2 linked regions of the Cricetulus griseus genome follow. The protein of the gene in region 2 interacts with the protein of the main gene of each other region in a pairwise test. Links are inferred from orthologs where the notes say so. Each region holds a gene or a part of one and is shown on either strand. Other genes may lie near its edges.

Region 1 (4,120 bases), on a different chromosome or scaffold from region 2:
ACTACCCACCACTCAGGGGCCACTGGTTTGTTTGCCTTCTGGTGTCTTCTGTCTCCAGCCATGCTGTGTAATGCTCCCCCCTGTCGTGACTGCCAGCTATGTACAGGTAGGTACTACAGCACCACCAAAAGGAAGGTGGTGGAGCCAGGAGAGTAGAAGAGCTATGAGCTCCATGTGTTCCTGCAGGGCAATTGCTGGACCGCTTTTCTCGCCCACCAGCCAGGAGTTGCTCTGAGGTGTCACCTGTGCTCCAGACCCCTGTGCACAGAGTGGTGTGGATGCTAGCTGTCCAAATATGAACATTAAATTGATCTGTGGCTCTGTGTTTCTAGCTGGATGGGGTGGGCCGGCCTAGAGAGCCATCTACTTGGGAAGCTGGACCCTAGTTTGGGTGCACCTCCTGTGTGGTGGCTTCTCCAAAGGCCTCCCCAGTGGTCAGAATGGACAGCCAAGTCTTGGGAGCTGGCTATTAGCCTGGACTTCAGAATTCATGTTTGCATTTTCCGGGCAGAATATTCAAATCCAATACAGACCAGAAAAAAAATGTTGACATACATGGTCTCCAGGCAGCTGGCACTGGAGAGAGACCCGGGCCTGGGACACACACTCTACACCCTCAGTGAATTCATCATTTACCTTCTGCCCACCGTGGGTCCTAGGAAGACACTCTTCTTCCATCCTTGATGTGCAAGAAGGTGGCAGGCAGTGGCAGGCCACAACTACACATGTTCTGCAGCCCTCAAAGCCCAGGACTGACTGGTGGCTCCTAGAAAACAGTCTATTTGTGACCCCAGAGCCGTTCCTGGAGCTCCCTCTCTGCCCCGTTCCCCGACCTGCAAAGGGCAGCACTTTAGGGCCTTCCCCAGGCTGTGCAAAATCTTCCCCATCATGTTATTTTGGTCTATTTAGTGGTGTGTTCAGGGGCAGGGTCTCTGCAGCCCCAGTGTGGCCTCGAACTCAATGATCCTCCTGACTCATCATCCCAAGGGCTGGAACTACAAGACGTTCTCTACCACGCACGGTTTAGCTTCCTCAGATTTCTGTTGGACACAAACGGAGAGACCACAGAGACTAGACGTAGTCGTCCTGCGGCAGCGGTGGACAGTGGGACAGAGGAAACCGTTCTGGTTGCGACTGCGCAAGCCGTCAAGTATCCAAACCCCGCCCCCGAGCGCCGTGGCCCCGCCCCTCTGGGTTGCTAGGGGAAGTGACGTCACAGCGCGATGGCGGCGGCTCCTTTAGGCAGCTGAAGGGGGATTTAGGCCCGGAAGATCCGAGTCCATCCGCGGCGGGGAGAGGGTGAGCGGGGCCGGCAGGGGCCGGAGCAGCGGCGGCGGTGCTCGGACTGTCCCATCCGCCCCGTATTGAGGCGCTGAGAGCGACGGGGCAACCAGAAAGCGATGGTGAAAGCGGGGCCGTGAGGGGGGCGGAGCCGGACCGGACCCGCAGTAGCGGCAGCAGCGGCGCCGCCTCCCGGAGCACAGACCCAGGAAGCGGCCGGGCGGGCAGCAGCGAGCCGCACCGCCGCCATGGAGCTGAGGGTCGGGAACAGGTACCGGCTGGGCCGCAAGATCGGCAGCGGCTCCTTCGGAGACATCTATCTCGGTGAGGCCCGGCGCCGTCGAGCAGCCCGGAGCCGTGCGGGCCGGCGGGCGGGGTCCCCGGCAGGCCGAGGCCTGCGTCAGGCCGTAGTGGACACTCGGCCGCTCGGCATCCCCGCACTCCGAGGGCCGGGCTACCGGCCGCGGCCTACATCAACGGCCGCTGGCCGAGCGCGGCCGGGGGCTGGGCGCGGCGGGCTGGGGGGGCGGGGAGGGGCTGGGGCACCGGGGAGGGGGCAGCTGGGCTTTGGGGGCTGCAGGACCGTGGGGGTCGAGATCCGAGCGAGCCCGGGAGTGGCCGGGGCCCCGGGAGACGAAGAGCGGCGTCTGGGGGCGGGCGGGGGGCGGCGGGCTTCGGGAGACGTGGTGGGGTGTCGGAGGGCGTGGGAAAGGACGGCGGGCTCGGGCGGGGGGCCGTGTTGGAGCTCGTCCAGGGGGCAGCGGGGCGGGGGAGGCGGCGGGCTGGGGGTGGGGCCCTAAGGGGGCAGGGCCCGGGCTGCGGGGCCCCAGAGGCGTCAGCATCCTCCCCCACCTAAGGTCACCGCAGTAAACAAAGGCCACGCTCTGCTCCTCGCTCGCTCGGAGGGTCTGGTACTTACTGCCCCTCGCCCCTGCGGGGTGATCCTGGGTGTTTTGATGTGTGTGTGGGGGGGAGAAACGTCAAAACAATCCGAATGGAGCGTGGAGGTGGGGAGTGTCCCAGCCCGAAATGGGGAAATGACGGGCTGGCTTCTAAGGGTTCTTGTGGCTGTCTGAGCCTGCCCTTTTCCACAACGCTGTTTCCAGTTTAGCTGACCTGCCGAACGGATCGTCCACCTTACGCCAAAACAGGACTGAAGATGTCCCCTTTGAGCTCGGTCAGCTCCTGGCCCTTTGGCCGTGGGTCCTCAGTATATGTTGAGCATCTTAAGTTGACTACTGGACACTCGGATGTCAGTGGGGATGAAGCTTTGATTAATGCTGGCACAATCTTGTCCATGTGGAGAGGTTGGCAGAGCAGAGCAGAGGGAAGTGGTGTGAAAGTTCTCATCCCTTGACTCTCAGAATTCACAAGGTAGACTTGAAAATCCAGACTTAGGATTCGACTGCCCTGGGTTAGCTCAAACTTAACAGTGAAGACTGTGTGTGTGTGTGTGTGTGTGTGTGTGTGTGTGTGTGTGTGTGTGTGTGTGTGTGTGTGTGTGTGTGTGTTTGTGTGTGTGTGTGTGCGCATGTATGTAATTACAGGCTTGCTTAAACCCACTTGTTGGGAATTTTAAAATGAACATTTTTACCCCCGTGTCTCCTAGTGGAATTGTAAGTCATTCCAAAACCCCTGAACTTCTGGTGATGAGCATCCTGAAGATGGTTGCCTGTTAGAGGCAAACATGCTCTGCTGAGTAGCCCGGTCTTCTGCGTTTGTGTGGCAGTTGTACCTGTAGTGCAGAGTCAGGAAGAAGCAGTGCTTTGGGCCTTGCCTTTCAGGCTACCCAAGTTCAAGACCTTCCTACTGTGACTCCTAGGACCTTGACAGCTGGCAGTGTGGGGTGGACAACTGGCCTGTGTGGGTAGTTCATAGGTATTTATGGTCCCTGGTTAGCGTGTAAGGTAACCCTGCTCTGTGCCACCACACGAGTGCTTTGAACCTGTACTTCTTGCCATAGTGGCCTGATGAGTAAATATGTTTTAGAGATACTTGGGGTTTGCTTATTTAAATATTTATGATCAAGTAGTCAGCCAGATGCCTTCTCGGCAGTGTTTGGGAGTCAGAGTGCTGGGTAAATGGGAGATGTTTGGCTTATTTATAGAACAATAGATCTTGGCAGGATATAGGAGCTATACTGAAAAGGCAATCCATTAGCCACCCTTTCATGGGCACCAGAAAATAGGTATTCTGAAACTTTTTGTTCCCTGAGATTTTGCCAAGCAGTTTTGTACTTTGTGAAGATTGATCCTAACAACCAAATTGTGATGTGGAGTCACATGCCATTCAGAGAGGTAAACTCTTCTCTGGGAAGGGTGCAGGCTCTGTCTGGGGATGCAGCTTACTCAGTCACATCTTTTCAGACCTGCCTGGTTCCTGCAGCCTCATGTCCCAACCAGAGCAGTGGGACTTGAGGGAAGGGCTGAGAGGCTGCCTTGAACCAGTGCATACACATCCTGCCCAGGATCTTCTACAGGCATGTGGGTGGTGGCCCATCTGATCATGTGAGGTAACTTTTTCCAGGAGTTCCATTTTGATGACTTTTGATGTGAGGTGGATTGCTGGGATCCTAGGGGTCAGAGTCCCTGGCTTACCTGTCTATCATGGTGTGTGGGGTTTTCGGTTGTTGTGTTTTGTTTTAAGACAGGATCTCACCATGCAGCCCTGGCTGGCCTTAGACTCAGAGATCTGCCTGCCTCTGCTGTGTGCCACTGTGCTGGGGCCCGGTTGTGCCTCTTGTGTGGGATTAAATACTGCCAGGCCTTTTCTGTCAGCCTTGGCTCTAAGCCCTCATTACTTTCCTTCCAAGCTACACCCTTGGGGAACTGAAACATGA
Region 2 (3,643 bases):
CTGAGCACTCTACTGACACCTAGTTGTGAATTTCTGTGTTAACTGCCAAGTTTTGGGCAGAGAAACTTCCAGTGAGGTCTGTGGGTACAGAGATATGAATTTGGAGGTCAGTTTGCTACTATATATAATTAGCAAAACAATAATAATAGGTTTACTCCTGGGACCTATGACCTCACCAACATGGGTTCTTGGCCAGACTTGCAGTATCAGGCATGCCTTTCCTCCTGTGGAGGGGACCTTAAATTGAGTCAGAAAGTGGTATTGGTTGCCCATAACATCCATGCCAGTGTTGCACCCAAGGGCATTTCTTGTCACACTTGTGATTATTGTAGTTCATGGATAGATTGGACTGTTGTTGGTAACTTTACCCCTCAGCAACCCACATAGCAACTAGGCAGCAGTGAGGATACTTCCTGGTCCATCTCAACTTAACTTCTCCTTGGACACAGGACCTTTAAGGTGCTTATGAGACAGGGCACAGGACTTGGAGGAGAAGAGAGGAATACAGCTTTGTAACTAAAGATGCACCTTCAAGTTGATGGAATTCAATTTTATGAAAAACCTACCTCAGGTCCTCTCACTGGCTATGGAATGAGAAAAACCGAGTGTTGTTTCTAGGCTGTGAAACTCAGAGGTGCTGTCAGGTGTCTGGCATTTACACTTGCTGTGAGTTGACATAGTACGGCTTGCAGCTACTTTTCAGTTTTCACCCTGATTGTTTTTCCACATTTAGCTACCCCAGGACTAAGAAATACTTCCGGAATAGAGTCATCTTGGAAAAAAACTGGAAAGAACAGAAAACTGAAGTCCAAGCGTGTCAAGACTCAGGACTCTTCTGAGAGCACAGGATCTGGAGGACCTGTGTCCCACCGTCCTCCCCTCGTGGGCCTGAATGCCACAGCCTGGTCACCCTCTGACACATCCCAGTCCAGTTGCCCCTCTGCACCCTTCCCTGCCTCAGTGCCAGCTTACCCTCTGCCTGTGTTCCAGGCACCTGGAATAGTGTCTACACCAGGGACTGTGGGGGCACCACCTGCACCTGCCCACCCCGGCTTCACCATGCCTGTTGTGCCTATGGGCACCCACCCCGAGTTTGCAGTGCAGCCCCTGACATTTGCTGCCCCCTTGACTCCAGTCATGGCCTTCATGCTACCCAGCTACCCTTTCCCACCAGCAACCCCAAACCTGCCTCAGGCCTTCTTCCCCAGCCAGCCCCCCTTTCCAGCCCACCCCACACTTGCCTCTGAAGTAGCTCCTGCCTCCCAGGCTGAGTTCCCCAGTCGGACCTCGGTGCTCAGACAGTCATGCACTTGTCCAGCCACCCCTCCAGCAGGCACCGTGGCCTCAGGCAGGGCCTCTCCACCACTCTTCCAGTCCCGAGGCAGCAGTCCCCTGCAGCTTAACCTGCTTCAGCTAGAGGAGGCACCTGAGAGCAGCATTGGAGCCCCAGGGACCTTGGGGACCACAGGGACAGCAGCTTCTGGTCTGGACTGCACGGCTGGCACGTCTCGAGATCGGCAGCCAAAGGCACCTCCAACAGTAAGGATTCTGTGCTGTGCCTCCTTCCTTTCAGGCAGTAGGCTGAACCACATGGTGGTCAGCACATACCCTCATGTGAGAGAAGGTTCTGGATTGGGTGCTTCCTGCCAGCGTAGAGGCCTGGATTCAAGCTACAGTGTCTTTTCAAGAACATGCCATTTATGGTTATGAGGCCCTACCATAAAACATTATTTGGAGCTCAGTAGGAAGCACATGAGGATAACAGATAATGCCGATGAGGGGACCAGGAATAGTGTGTAACTTTGGGGCCTCACATTTCTAATGAGTCTTTTTGTTTGTTTGTTTTTGTTTTTTTGAGACAGGGTTTCTCTGTGTAGCTTTGGAGGCTATCCTGGAACTCACACTGTAGACCAGGCTGGCCTCAAACTCACAGAGATCCTCCTGCCTCTGCCTCCTGAGTGCCGAGGTTAAAAGCGTGCGCCACCAATGCCCAGCTTCTAATGAGTCTTAAAACTCTTTTGTTTGTTTGTTTTTTCCTTGAGACAGTCTTATTCTATCCCTGACTGGCCTGGAACTTGCTATGTAGACCAGGTTGGCTTCAAACTCAGAGATCTGTCTGCTTCTGCTCTCAGCGCTGGGATTAAAGCCATGCCCTTGTGTGGCTAGCCTTCAAAGTTTAATGAAGCCCAGCATGGGGAGAAGGGACAGGCTCCAGCCTGCAGTGGCCAGGAGCCTGCCTGGTGGAGTACAGGTCCCCGAGGCTCACGAAGATGAGGGGGGTTTCTGCTTTTGGCTTGGAAGCCAATAATCCCTGGTGTGGTAAGGGCTCTTTTCCAGTTAATGTTTTCTGAGAGAGCAAGCTATGTGGTCGCAGCAGCCTGAGTCAGCCCCATGCACCAGGTGGCAGGAGCTTTCAGGAAATGGCGGCTGCCTTTGTAAGGTGTTGGGCTGCTGTTCAGAAAGTGGGACCGTATTCGTGGGCAGTGGTTCTCTCAGAGCCTGTCTGCTCTCTAAGGCCCCAGGACCCACTGGGGCTCAGAGCCTCACTTATGGGGTGGCTCGATACTCAGGAGGCTGAGGAGCATCTTGGCACATTTGCACTGAGTGCAAGCCCTGCCGTCTGCTGTGACTCTCCCAAAGTCACATTTTATTGGGTAGTATCATAGAGTATCAGCGACCCTCTCCCCACACTCCCATAAGTGCAAAATCTGCTCACCTGATAGGTAAAGGCTTGTGCTCCGTGGCTGATCTTTGCACAAAAGCCACCCAGTGCGCTCCCTGGGCTCCACCCCACCATATTGTGTGTTGTGTGCTATGTTGTCCCTAAGCCCCTATGATTGAGCATCAGTGTCTTTTTCCTGTCCCTAAAGTGCAACGAGCCCTCTGACACCCAGAACAGTGATGCCATCTCCACATCCAGTGACCTGCTCAACCTCCTGCTGGGTGAGGATCTCTGCTCAGCCACGGGGTCAGCACTGTCTAGAAGCGGAGCCTCTGCCACTTCAGATTCTCTGGGCTCCAGCTCACTAGGCTGTGATGCATCCCGAAGTGGGGCAGGTATGTTTGTGCTGAGGGCCCAGTGTGTGTTAGGCAGTGTGGGTTTGGGTTGTGTCTAGAATGTTCTGTCCCTGGCCATTCTGCATGGATGCAGCTCTGTCTGCCCTACTTAGCACAGCAGGCAGGCCCTAGCCATCAGAATTCATGGTTCTATCTGTTAGCTTCCAATTTCTGTGTCAGTGAAGACATTATATCTGTGCCAGCCCTTGTTGGACCAGTAGGTGGGTTCCCTGGGCATTGGTTCAACCTCCTGAGTTGGCTTCACATGTACAAACACAACAAACCATCCAACACCTACTGGCAAGGATCTTCCACCTGTGCCCTCAAGACCCCAGGGGCAAACTGTACATGGCCACGCTCAAAATCCTGACGCTTTTTCTGCCATAAAGTGAGCTTTCCCTAACCTGCTCATAGGCTTGTCTACCCAGGGGCAACATCTGGGCATGAATAGGCCAGCAGCTCCCCTCTTAGGGATCTTCTGTGAGTCTAAAGACAGAGTCTAAAGAACTTAGGACAAAGGTCAGGGATTCAAAACAAGGCCCTGCCTGAGCTCAGCTTTGCCGCAGGTGAGAATCACCTCCCCAGT

What was found. The genes of interacting proteins can lie anywhere in the genome.
Region 1: the proteins of Per2 (region 2) and Csnk1d interact in binary tests that used the Homo sapiens proteins (3 or more experiments, as listed by UniProt). The link is inferred for Cricetulus griseus from reciprocal best matches to the Homo sapiens genes PER2 and CSNK1D.

What each region holds. Positions count from the first base shown.
Region 1 is NC_048600.1:133,470,245-133,474,364, reverse strand, and holds the start of Csnk1d (casein kinase I), read left to right. Parts: upstream 1-1,218; 5' UTR 1,219-1,529; coding exon 1,530-1,605; intron 1,606-4,120. UniProt on the Homo sapiens protein: Essential serine/threonine-protein kinase that regulates diverse cellular growth and survival processes including Wnt signaling, DNA repair and circadian rhythms. It can phosphorylate a large number of proteins.
Region 2 is NC_048595.1:442,946,436-442,950,078, reverse strand, and holds part of Per2 (period circadian protein homolog 2), read left to right. Parts: intron 1-733; coding exon 734-1,539; intron 1,540-2,870; coding exon 2,871-3,057; intron 3,058-3,643. UniProt on the Homo sapiens protein: Transcriptional repressor which forms a core component of the circadian clock.